Linked DNA regions of Caenorhabditis elegans. The protein of the gene in region 1 interacts with the protein of each later gene in a biochemical or structural test. Each region holds a gene or a part of one and is shown in the gene's direction. Other genes may lie near its edges.

Region 1 (7,153 bases):
TCTTTAAATTGTAGTTTTTTTTTTGTTGAATAATACTTTAGTACGATACAAAATATGTCTAAACACAAAATTCGATATAAAAGTTGTCAGATTGAAAAAGTGCTGAACTCATTGAGCTTAAGACGCTCAATCCTGGTTTAATAGCCTCTGCTCTCACTCACTTTTTCTACGACTAACCAATTAAAAAATCGATTGAATCGGTCATTCTCCGCCGCCACATGGTGCCCATCTGTCTTTTTATTTTCCATTTTTCCCCCTCACTTTCTCCTCGTTTATTTTCGCAACGCTCCAGCTCCCTATTCTCCTCCCGGTTTTTCATTTTCTCGTTTTCCATTTTTCAATTTTCTCACAATAAGGACTCACTATTTCCACTTTTTTGTTTCTCTTCAAGTGCGAGTACTAATCCCTTTCACAGGAAAAGTGGAGTTTTTGTGCTTCTTTTAAACAAAAAAGTAGATTCGAATCGATTCTTAGAGAGAAATCGGCATCGAAATGCTTCATTTTCGCAATATTTATTAAATTTATTGGATTACCTACCGCTGCGAGACCCACCTGGAAATTGTATGCATGCACCTTTGATCACTGTAATTATTTGTTTGTCTTTTCTGATTTTTCTTCCTTCTTCATCATTTTTAAGCGTGTTTTCTAGTTTTTCCTCGCTATTATGCCTAAAAAACATTGAAAAGAAATATTCGTAATTTGCACCTATTCATTCCTGATATGACAAAATATTTATCCGATCACTTCACATCAAAATTAGTTCCCGTGTCACAACAAAGAAAAGACCTTGAACACTGAGGAGAAAGAGAGAGGAAGTGAGGAAAATGAGGCAAGATGACACAAAAAAAAGACGGAAAACTATCGAAAAATAGGGTCGTTTTGAGACTGAACAACCAGTTTTGGCCCCGTTTCAAGTGTTGGTAGCTACCTCTGAAGGCAGAACTTTTTTGAAAGACTGTAGATACTGTAGATTGAAATTTGATTAAGTTTCCAATGTCTTTTACGTTATTTCAGTCCTTTCAAAATCTGTTTCTAGACTTTTTCTTCTCATAACTTCAAAAACCAATACAATTTCTTCAAAAAAATAAGTTTTTGCTCACAAAAATCTTTGCACAGGATCCAATGGCCTAGCTTTACCCAGGCCACCACATTCCTCTGTGTTACCCGCCTCCTCGTGAGCTGCTCGTTGCGCGTGTATCGCTCTTTTTCTCTAATTCTCTATCATCCTTCCTATCCATTTTTAGCGGGTTTTTTCCCGATGTTACTTCAGTTTTTCTTTACGAGTAGCTTTGGTTTGTACATTTTGTTTTAGGAATTCATTTCTAAATGTGCCCAACTGAGCGAATCTTATAATGAGACTTCCCAAAAAAATGTTCAAAATTTCGAAAAAATTGCAAAAATTCCAATTTTTACATGTCGCTGTATTTCAGCTGCTGTAAGGAAAAGTATGCTTCGAAATTTTTGAACAGTCATACAGTTTTTTTTTGAGAAACTGACTAAAAGTCTCAAATTTTCGTTCATTTGGGCACATATTTTTATTTTGAAAAATCCACATATTTTCTTGAAATCTCAATCGATTTTTTAAAGCTTTTTTCTTCCTTCAAAATCTATCTTTTCGAAAAAAAAAAGCTTTTCCAAATATTTGTTGTTCCAGATCTTCTCTACAAATGACAACGGCGGCTGAAATAATAACAGTGGTGAGTCAATATAATTTCAGGTATTTTCTTCTCCAACTAAAAAAAACAAAACATCGAGCGTTTTATTTTCTCTTCCAGCGCTCCCCTCATCTTTTCCATATTATGCACATAATTTTAACCAAAACATTGATTTTTGTGGTGTTTGCACCGGTATTATATATATTCTGAACAAGTATATATATATATTATAAGTATCTCTCATTTTTCTTCCGTGGCTAGCGGCGCATGCGGTTTTGTGGCCTTTCTTATAATTTCGATCTATATCTTTTCGCGAGTTGGGTCTCGAGTGGAAGTGCACTAGTTTTCCACTCGAGACCCAATTAGTGAATGAAATTTCAGTTTGAATAACCAATGTCTGCTCCTCTTCCAAACGCCCCTCTCTAGCTTATCATTGCCACGTGGCAAAAGACTGGAAAATATTGGAGAAATCTTTTTTTTTCGAAAAAAAAACCAATATCTGTTCCAAATAACAAATTCTCAATGGTTTTTTGTGCATGGATGATGATGATGAAATGATATACACCCACACGTACACCTACACACATACACTGGTTGAATGTATTTAGTGAAACACAGTTTTTTATTTTATTTTCTAGTTTTTAATTTCATTTTTATACTAATCAAATCACGCTAGGTGTCTAATTGTAATATGGTTAAATGGAACCTGGTATATATATATAAATATTTTGCATGTGGATTTTTAGTCAGGAAAATTGAATCTACGAAATTTGAATAAAAAGTCAATTGAACATCTGAGGCAGAATAAAATTACTTTCCCATGATAGTCTAATTTATGAAATTGCATGCAATGTTTCTCGCTTTTGTGTCCATTTAAATGGCTTTTTGGAATAAAAAACTGCTGGATTGTGAAAACCCCCTATTGAAATTTTAATATTATTGGGAGGCAGAAAAATATTCGCTTCGTTTTGGCGGCAAAATAGTTAATTCAAATGTTTGAATTAGTTTCGCCAATTTTCAAGTACTTTTTCTCTTTTTTCAATTATCGATTTAGAAAGTCTGAATTTATGGTTTTTCCGCCAAATTCCTAATAAGACCCATAGTTTGGGGGCGGAGCGTTTAAAATTGGCGTCAATTTCGAAATGGGCAATATTTGCGCCCCCATAATAAATAATTCATCTTTGAAAATTGCGAGAAATTACAGTACCCCAAATACCCTGCGTTCTTTTCGGTCGCGTCGAGACCTGGTTTTTCTCACAAGAATTTTTGAAACATATTTTTGGATGACAACTCCTATCTCTATATTTTTTTTTCTCCATAAAAAATCATAAATATTATCAGGTTCCATTTTTTAAATATACCCTAGGATTACTATATATTTCAACCAATTTTCTTTCAATCTTTCATTTCTAACCGATTTCATTTAATAATAATAATGTCTACATCTATCATCCATGTTCAACCAATCATTCAGATGACGTCATATTCCGCACGAAACAGGAGATCATTCTTCCTCATCCCCTCGTCGACAAAACCGCATGAGCTCCCTCCCCAGTGAATGACATTGCTTTTACCGTTTTCAGGAAAAATTAAACGATTTCGACTATAAAGTGGCTCTCCAGCAGCAAATGGTAGCTGCTCAAAATGGAGCTGCCGCCGCTGTGCTCCGACCACATCAAATCGGATCCTCTCCAGAGGCTCCACAATCTCAAACATCTGGAGGATCAACGGAACAGCTGCAGCAGCAACCACTACCACCACCAACTCAACAGAAGCAACAGCAGCCACTGACGATTGGACCAGTGGCTCCGAATGATCGCAGCACTAGCTGTAAGAGACTCCTAATGTTCTTCTCTATTCTTCCTACGTTTTTTAGCATTAAAAAGAGAGAGCTTATTTGATAATGCACGTCTTCGTGGAAGACTTGAGAGAGATTTGTGTTCTATTTTTTTATTAAACAAAACCAGAGAAATGCATGAAAAGTGCCCAATGATGTGTGTGCAATGAGCGAAAAAAATAAATAATTTACGGGAACTTTGAATTCGGAGAATGCGTACTGCACCACATATTTGACGAGCAAAATATCTCGTAGCGATAACTTCAGTAATTCTTTAATGACTACTGTAGCGCTGGTGTCGATTTACGGGCACGATTTCGAAATGAATTTCTGTTCAAACTGTGGGAGCGATATCAAATTATTCTATCATTTTTGTGTTCTTTTAATATTTTTTCGATTTAAAATGATTCTCGTAAATCGACACCAGCGCTACAGTATTAATTTAAAGGGTTACTGTAGTTTTCGCTACGAGATACTTTGCGCGTCAACTATCCTGCGAAATACGAATTCTCAGAATTTATTGTTCCAGGTAATAATAATTTAAAATAAATGCACACACATCATTGCGTGCTATTTTAATTGTGGATAATGTTCATATCGGTGGCAGTTATTTAATTTCAATAGTGGTTTTCTTTTTTTTCGTCTAGCCATACATATATTAACCTCTGGAATGCGTACAAGCACACTGCCCACACCCCAAGGTTGACTGCTTTTTTAGTTTTTTATTAATTTCTTCTGATTTCTCTTTTTTTTTTGAAATTTTTTTGAAAAAAAAAACAGAAGGAAATCATCAAAAAAATAATATTAAAAAAATTTTTTAGGCATTTAAATCCCAAGAACACTTTTGAAAAAATATTTTCAGCAAGTAGTACAGATGGACCACGCCGCCTACACGTCTCGAATATCCCGTTCAAATATCGTGAGCCAGATCTCACTGCGATGTTTGAAAAAGTTGGGCCCGTCGTAGATGTCGAGATTATCTTCAATGAACGGGGTTCTAAGGTTTGTTTTAAAACAACATTTTCAGAAAAAATTAATAAATAAATTCCAGGGATTTGGATTCGTGACAATGCAGAATCCAGATGATGCGGATCGTGCTCGAGCCGAGTTTAATGGAACGACGATTGAAGGGAGACGTGTTGAAGTGAATCTTGCTACTCAGAGAGTTCACAATAAAAAGGCCAAGCCTTTGATGTCAGGTAAGGAAAATAGTGTTTCGTGATTCTGGAAAAAATTGAAAATCGGAAAAAGGAGCCATCGAAATTTTTGTCCAAGTTTTCTGAACACATTAAAAAATCCAATTTTTTATGTTTACAATATTAATCGTATTTAATAAAACATACAATTTTAAAAAGAAAAAGGATCAAAATTTGGAGCTTATTTTCGAAAAATCGAAAAAATTTTGATTTTTCGATTTTTCACAAATCGAAAAATATACACCCTTGGTCCGAGATTTTCCATTTTCGAATATCAATCTCAAAATATTTCAGTTGGAGTGGACGCAATGAGTGCTCAAAATGCTCTGATATCCCAACAACAACAGATTCAACGTGCTGCTCTTCTGCAACAGCAACTTCTTGCTCAACAATTCCTTGTGCCACGTCATCAACAACTCATGATGCCACCAACTTCTGCAGCAGCCATCTCTCAACTGCAAGCTCTTCAATATCAACAGGCACTGCTCGCTGCTCAACAACAACAGCAACAAATGCAGAATCCTCAATTCCTTTTAAGTCTTCAACAACAGCAACAGGCACAAGCACAGGCTCCACCGACATCGATGGCTCAGCTTATTCAACATCAACAACAGTTTGCAATGGATCCGATGGCTCAGGCACAGGCACAAGCTGCTCAAGCACAAATGGTCACGTTGATTGCATTTGAGCAACAGAGAATGCAACTTCAAGCTGCTGCTGCCGCTGCTCAAGGTTATTTCTTCGAAAAATTGAGAAATGATTTTTTTTTGAAATAATAATTATTGAAAATTCTAATGTTTTCCAAAAATAATTGAACGTTAAAAAATCGAGAAAAAATTTGAAATAAATGAAAGGAGAAAACTATGGATTATTTATAGCTATTGATTTCGATGATAAAAATATTTACTTTTTTGTTTGAAAATTGATAAATTACAATTTTTATAATGTAAAAAACGAAAATTTTCGGTTTTTTTTTTTGAAAATCTAAAAATCTGCGAAGTTAACGTCGGGAAAAAATTAGAAAATTGTACGAAAAGGAGAAGAAAACTAGGTTTAACGAAAAAGTTGTGATTTTCGATGAGAGAACGTTTTTTTTTTAATTTTGGATTTTTCAGAGTAAACCGAAAAATCTTAAGAAATGACCCAAAGTTATTGAAAATTTGATTTTTTTTTCTAAAAATAAAAACTAAACTTTAGTTTATATTTTAATCTAACATGTTGAGAAATTACCTTAATTAACAAAAAAAAATCGGAAAACCAAAATTTTTCCAACGTTAAAAACTGAAATTTTCCAGGTCGAGGTGTTCCTCAGCCAGGGCGCATTCCAACATCAACAGCCACCACCGGATCATCACAAAATCAAGTCGCTGCAGGCTCAATTGGAGAGCAATACTTACAACAATCAATGCAAGGAGCAGTTCCAGCAAATTTCCATCATCACTCACAGGCTCTGCATCCAGCGGCTGCTGCTGCGGCTGCTCTTCAACGACGTTTTGCTCCATATTAATTTTATGTTTATATACTCACTGGATTTTCGAATAATGTAATTTTAATTCTACACAATTCTCGGAATAATCCATCACATTCCCCCATTGCCCCATCTGACGCATATTAATTCATGTGTAATTTTACATATTTTCCCAGAACATTTCCAGACAAAAAATACATTTTAATCTCTATTAAAAACTCTGATGACCCCCATCCCGTCCCCAATTTGGCTTTATTTGATATTCATAATATTCTCACGGAACTCTGTGTAATAAGTTGTTTTCTTACTAATTTTTCTAACCTTTTGAAATTGTATGCTACGGATTGTAATTCATCTTCCCTCCCTCTCTCACTCGATGCATCTCTTTTCTCAATTTTTGGTGTTGCTTTATCAATTTTTCTCTACTTTTTCTGTGCAATCTTCTTTTTTTTCTCGAACAAAAATTGTTTTAATAATTTTTATTTCAAAAAACAAAAAAAAATGTACAGAGCAATAGGGACAACGAAACAAATTCCCATTTTCAGAAAAAAAGAGAAAAAAAAACAACTAGAAATGTAGAAAAACAATCAATTTTCATCCATCGGCTCATCATCTAAATCAGGCATCGGAAATCTCAAAATAGCTGCACATCCAGTCAACTGAGCGAGTTGTTCTCCAGAAACGTGCATTGAAGAGAAAATGTGAACTTTTCCGTTCTGTTCTCGAACACTTTCCACAAGTCTTACGTATTTTCGTCGTGTCTCAATATCTTGGGCTCGGAATAGAGAATCAGCGACAAGGAGTGTTTCGATGGCGAGCTCTTGATTTGCACGATTCACATGGCTGAAAAATTGTGAAATTTTAGTAGTTTTTATCGAATTTAATAGCTCCAACACAACAATCTGTCGAGTTTACACCAGTTTACTAATTATTTTTGATATTAACACTCATACCGGCAAAAATTTGATTCACTTATAGCTTTTTCAGTGAAAAACGT
Region 2 (5,268 bases), on another chromosome or scaffold:
CAGTGCTATAGTTTTCTCAAAAAGTTGCAAAAACTCGATGGTATCCCCTTTTTCCCCACTATTTGTAAAGCTTCTTCACCTTTAGTAAAAAATTTGGTTCTGGTATTTGGTATTCAGAGCCCTTCCAGTTTTAGTTCTACCCCCCCCCCCCCCCCCTCTAATCAATCATTTTGTAACAAACAGTTTCATTCAGTCATGTGTCTTCGAAGTTTTGCGGACGGACATAAATAACATAAAAAAGTGAAATTTCCTCTCTGCATGGTTTATACGGTCTCTGTGCTTACTATCGAAGATAAACTGATATGATGAGAAACACCACCACGTCCGGGTTTCAAATCTTCAACACTTTCCCATATTTTCAATGCACATGGCACTTCACATAAGAATCCTTAAAGTTTTTCCATGTAAATGTGACGAACCGCCATATTCAGAGTGCTCTGCGTCGTTCAACAACAGCTTTCCAAGTCCTCCAATTGTTTAATCAGGCGGTGAGGACGAGGGGCGGTAAAGACTCCCATACTCGAAACGCACAGATTTGAAGCAATTGTATTCCCGAAAAACAAGACTAGCCCCCGGGAGGAGGAGAGCATCAGTTTGTTTCTTTTGCCTCCCACTGTTTTCGCTGCCTTTCTCGGATTGTCCAAACATGCGAACGTCTTAGTCCGAGCACATTGAGCGAACGGTATTTTTTTCTTTTTTTGTAGCATCGCAACAAATTGGGCTCTCTTTGCTATTTTTGGGCACAAACAAATGGTTGTTTCATTTTTGAATCGCCGCCAAATTCAAAATCCTCTGTACATTCCTCTCAGCTAAAATTTCACACAGAAAAAGAAAAACAAAAAATTATACTGCAGTTCGTAATTGTTTTCCAAATAACATCTTACAGTATAAGTATTATTCTGTATTTCCCACCACCACATCATGAATGCAATGTGATCAGAGATGGATTATTTCTTCATTCTGTCTCTATTCTTTTCTTCTTGGAGCAACTTCTCCTTGTCGCATCCTTTGATTGAGCCTTCTTTCTTCTTATTCTTCTCCTCCTTCTTCTTTTACTTCATCCCAACATCCACCCACTCGTTGTCAGTTGAGCTCTGTTGTTATTTCGCGTTTTATTTCTCTTCATCGATTTCAATCTTTTTTTTCTGGATCAGCATGACATAAATCGATACTCCAGAGGTGGTGTTATTTGCGCAACGGCTCATTGTGGTGAAATATTATGGCAAAAATTGACCGGGGGGAAGAGTGTTGGAAAGAAAGAGTCAATTTTTGCGACGACAGGCGGGCGGTGGTTGGCTTCTGTTTGGAGAGCAGCAAAACTTTGACAGGCTCACCCACCACCGGAGACAGACCTACGGATTTTGTGCGCGCGCGAGCTTTTCGTCGGCTCGTTCTTATCCATTTCTATTTTATCTCTCTCTCGCGATTTGTCGCCTTTCGTTTAGTTTTCACTATCTCTACCTATGTGGTCTCTGAGGTAAGTAAGGTCTCTGATAACTCATTGATCATGACGAGTGATAGATAATAGCAGTGTAAAGTTTTCAGTTTCATGTTGGCTCTAGCTCATTTCCTATTGATTCACACCTTCGATGTTGTATATGTTTTTTTAAATTATCGTTTATAAACTTCTCATATTTCTATGTATATATATACAAAACTTCAAACAAAAACATTTTGCAGGTCAATTTCACGGTATTTAAGCTAGGCCCTATATAAATCAAGTAAAAAATGTACGGCCAAGTCCAAGATCCACTGGTGCATGCTGCTGCCGCTGCTTTGGCACAATCAACCAACGCCGAACCAGTAGTTGGTGAGTTTCCTGTGATCCCCATCGAATTGTCACATGATGATGGTTTAGAGAGGGAAAAAGATAGGGAAAAATGACAGTGGTATGCAACTTTTGTGTGTAACCTCACATATGGTTCCACTTAAAAGAAGACTTGCGATAGGAATAGAAACTGGAAATATTTCAAATTTTTTAGTTCATCTCCATTCATTTTCAGGTTCCCGTGATACCATGTTCACCAAAATCTTTGTCGGTGGTCTGCCATACCATACAAGTGACAAGACGCTTCACGAGTATTTTGAGCAGTTTGGAGATATTGAAGAGGCTGTAGTCATCACTGATCGTAACACACAAAAAAGCAGAGGATATGGATTTGTAAGTCACTGGAATGTCAAAAATTTCTAGTTTGCGATATTTTTTCACGAGATCTTACGTTGGAGGTCAATTGAAACGAAACGGTTTCTAATCATCAATCACTTTTGACATGATTAACCATTTTTTATCTTGTCCGTCCAGATAAAAGAGGAAACAATTTCGTTTGATTTAACTTCACTAAATTGGAAAATAATTCGGGAACAAGGTGGATGAAGAAATCTTCAAATTTCCGAAATCTCGCGGTTCTGCTTTGACCTCTCAAGCGGCTCTTCATAGGAATCGCACGCGTATTTTGTTAGCAAACATTTCCCAACCATATATATCTCAACAAATAGTTGCAACAGCAAAGATGGAAAGATTACTCTTCGCAAAAAAACATGATCTTTACATATGTTTGTTAATGAAACATAACTTTTCAGGTAACAATGAAGGACCGTGCTTCTGCAGAAAGAGCTTGTAAAGATCCAAATCCAATCATTGATGGAAGGAAGGCTAATGTCAACTTGGCATACCTCGGAGCTAAACCAAGAACAAATGTGCAACTTGCTGGTAAGTTTCGAATTTTTGTGCGGCTCTTGAGCAGCTCTCAGATCATTTTATTCTCCCCGTGTGTTTTGGCTTCTGCTAAACATTATCAATCCTCCACAACCTTCATAACCAAAGGATATTGTTTGTGTCGCGCATCTCTATTCAGTTTTTGTCTGTGTTAACCAAAATCACCAAGTTGGTCATTTTAGCGCTGGCCGCTGGACAAGTTCAACTTCCACTCACCACTCAACTTCAGGCTTTGTTTCAACCAAGAATGGGGTAAGTTTCGGTGATTTGCCTGTGTGTGACATACTTCCAACAATTCCTATCTCATCCAAAAATCACCGCTAATTGAGTTGTGTTGATACAGAAAAAAGAAACAACACGACAACAACAGCAATGACAAAACACTGTAGAACTTTGTGCTCTAGCTCAAAAGTTGCCTAGGATACTTGAGAAGTACTCTTGTGTTCAACCATCTTCACACGTTTAATAATAACTTAAATAATATTAATGATTGTAAACCAAAATATTTTAAGACAAGTGGCCGGTTGAATCGAAATCCGTGGATGCCTAAAACTAAAGGTTAGGCGTGCTTTGACGTGTGCCAATATCATTACTTTCATTTTCCAAACCAAAAGCGGAATACAATAGTGCTGTGTTTTTGACGTGTCCATACTCTCTTTCTCTTCATTTTCACCTATTTCCCAAACCTATATGATTTCGAGTTTTTCTCTTTTCCCTTGGTGAAAACTTGCATAGTCCTGAATGAACTGAGCACCCCAAAGTTGTTTTCTTCATTGGTGGGATTGATGATTATTTCTTTGTAGGTCAATGGGTTTGGCTGCCTAACTAAAACCATCACGCATTTTCTAAACTTTGCTATAGTTTGGTTACGTCTTTTCTGATACTTTTTTTTTTGGAATTTTGAAGTTGTCAATGATTTTACTTTTCATTCTATCCAAATATGTTAGATATTTCTTTTGCACTAACTCAAAAAAACTGAACTGAAAAAATGTGGAGTTTCTTAATATTGTTAAAACAAAAACAAAAATAATTATACTTTCCAGAACCAAAAAAAGTGAATTTTTATCACGCATGTGCGTGTTTTTTGGGTGATATTGTGATAAACACTGTTGCCTCATTTCCAGCATTTGGCATTTACATCCTCCTGTCAATTCCGTGTTCGGTAATTAATCAATACTTTTTTTTAGACTTCCTCAAATGTATTATCCGACTGTCACAGGACTGGTCAATCCGTTGATGGCACAACAAGGAGCCGCTGCTCAGCAACAATTGTTCGATTATAATGCTCTGGCCGCAGTAATGAACCCACAAGCTGCCGCCGCTTATGGTATTCAGTCCCAAGGAAAATGTATGTTCGACGATAGGAAGTTAAAATTAAATAAAAATTTTTTTTTTTCAAATTTAATAAAACATTTTCAGTCGCAGCCGCCCCTACAACAATTGAGCAATACGCCGCCTATCCAGCAGGATACGGCCTAGTTCCCCAATCTGCCTACAATATTGGAAACCCACAGTTGCAACAATTAGCTGCCGCACAACAACAGCTTGAGCATCAACGTGTCTAGAATCCTAATAATATTCTTCAATTTGTCATTCACTCATTCATAAAACCGATTGTCATTGTCGTCCCAGCAATAATTCGCCAACTGATTTTGCCAATAGAGAACATAGGTATTTGCCCGAGTTATACTGATAATTTTACAACTTTGTCCTACCCAAATATCAGATTCTTACGCAAATCAAACAGTTCTATCTAGTCTTCCAATTTCAACTTTATTCCCATATACTTTACAATTTTAGTCACAGTTCTTTTTGATTTTGTCAATTTTTTTCTTATTCATTTCAAATTACAAATCTCTGATGTGGGTTTCTACACGTTCGATGTTTTTTCTTCTCAATTTTTTCCCGAAACGCCAGAGTTGCCTGATTTTAATGTGCCATTTGCACATCCTCATTGAATTTGCAAATTAATTTCATATGGTGAGTTCGTAATAGTCGTACATGTTCCTGCATTTAATGTTTACAATAAACCGATTTCAAAACCTAATCACGTGTGATGCAGAAACTGGAAGTAGTTGTAATGAACGGGGGTTTAAACAGAAGGCAGATGGATACAACAGGAACTAGTTGCAGCATTAGGTCATCTTGGCAAACAGTAAGAAATAATGCAATACTATATTGTAGTTTCGTAGATCGAATTTAAAACAAAAAATACAGTACTAGGCAGAATGATACTTTTAGAATGAATGATAATTTTTTGACGAATTTTTTCCATCCAAAAAAATAGGGAAAAGAACCTGTGAAAGAAGAAAAAACTGGCTCTGAAAATATAATATCCTGACTGATTGAAGTTGTCGATCCTGTAAATTCTAAAACTGATAGTAGTGGTAGTAGATGACATTGAACACTTCCGAATGACATTTCAGGCTGAAAATTAAAAAAAATTGAAATGCCTTGAGAAACCATCTACAAATAGTAAATAGTAGAATAACTAACCGAAATGAGGGTAGAGAATAATTATTTTAAGCTGCTCGAGACATTTTGGCCACCAC

The links.
Region 2: of the proteins of asd-1 (region 1) and sup-12, one has a biochemical effect on the other in vitro, tested with the Caenorhabditis elegans proteins (one study listed by BioGRID).

What each region holds. Positions count from the first base shown.
Region 1 is NC_003281.10:4,195,631-4,202,783, forward strand, and holds asd-1 (RRM domain-containing protein), read left to right. Parts: upstream 1-1,654; 5' UTR 1,655-1,667; coding exon 1,668-1,697; intron 1,698-3,238; coding exon 3,239-3,485; intron 3,486-4,354; coding exon 4,355-4,494; intron 4,495-4,543; coding exon 4,544-4,691; intron 4,692-4,871; exon of another isoform or gene 4,872-4,917; intron 4,918-4,982; coding exon 4,983-5,420; intron 5,421-5,983; coding exon 5,984-6,195; 3' UTR 6,196-6,630; downstream 6,631-7,153. Other genes in the region: pelo-1 (Protein pelota homolog), read right to left, coding at 6,744-6,999.
Region 2 is NC_003284.9:3,902,911-3,908,178, forward strand, and holds sup-12 (RRM domain-containing protein), read left to right. Parts: upstream 1-1,680; 5' UTR 1,681-1,728; coding exon 1,729-1,810; intron 1,811-2,003; coding exon 2,004-2,161; intron 2,162-2,580; coding exon 2,581-2,710; intron 2,711-2,898; coding exon 2,899-2,968; intron 2,969-3,228; coding exon of another isoform or gene 3,229-3,244; exon of another isoform or gene 3,245-3,274; intron 3,275-3,903; coding exon 3,904-4,064; intron 4,065-4,135; coding exon 4,136-4,281; 3' UTR 4,282-4,761; downstream 4,762-5,268. Other genes in the region: T22B2.5 (Neur_chan_memb domain-containing protein), read right to left, coding at 5,234-5,267.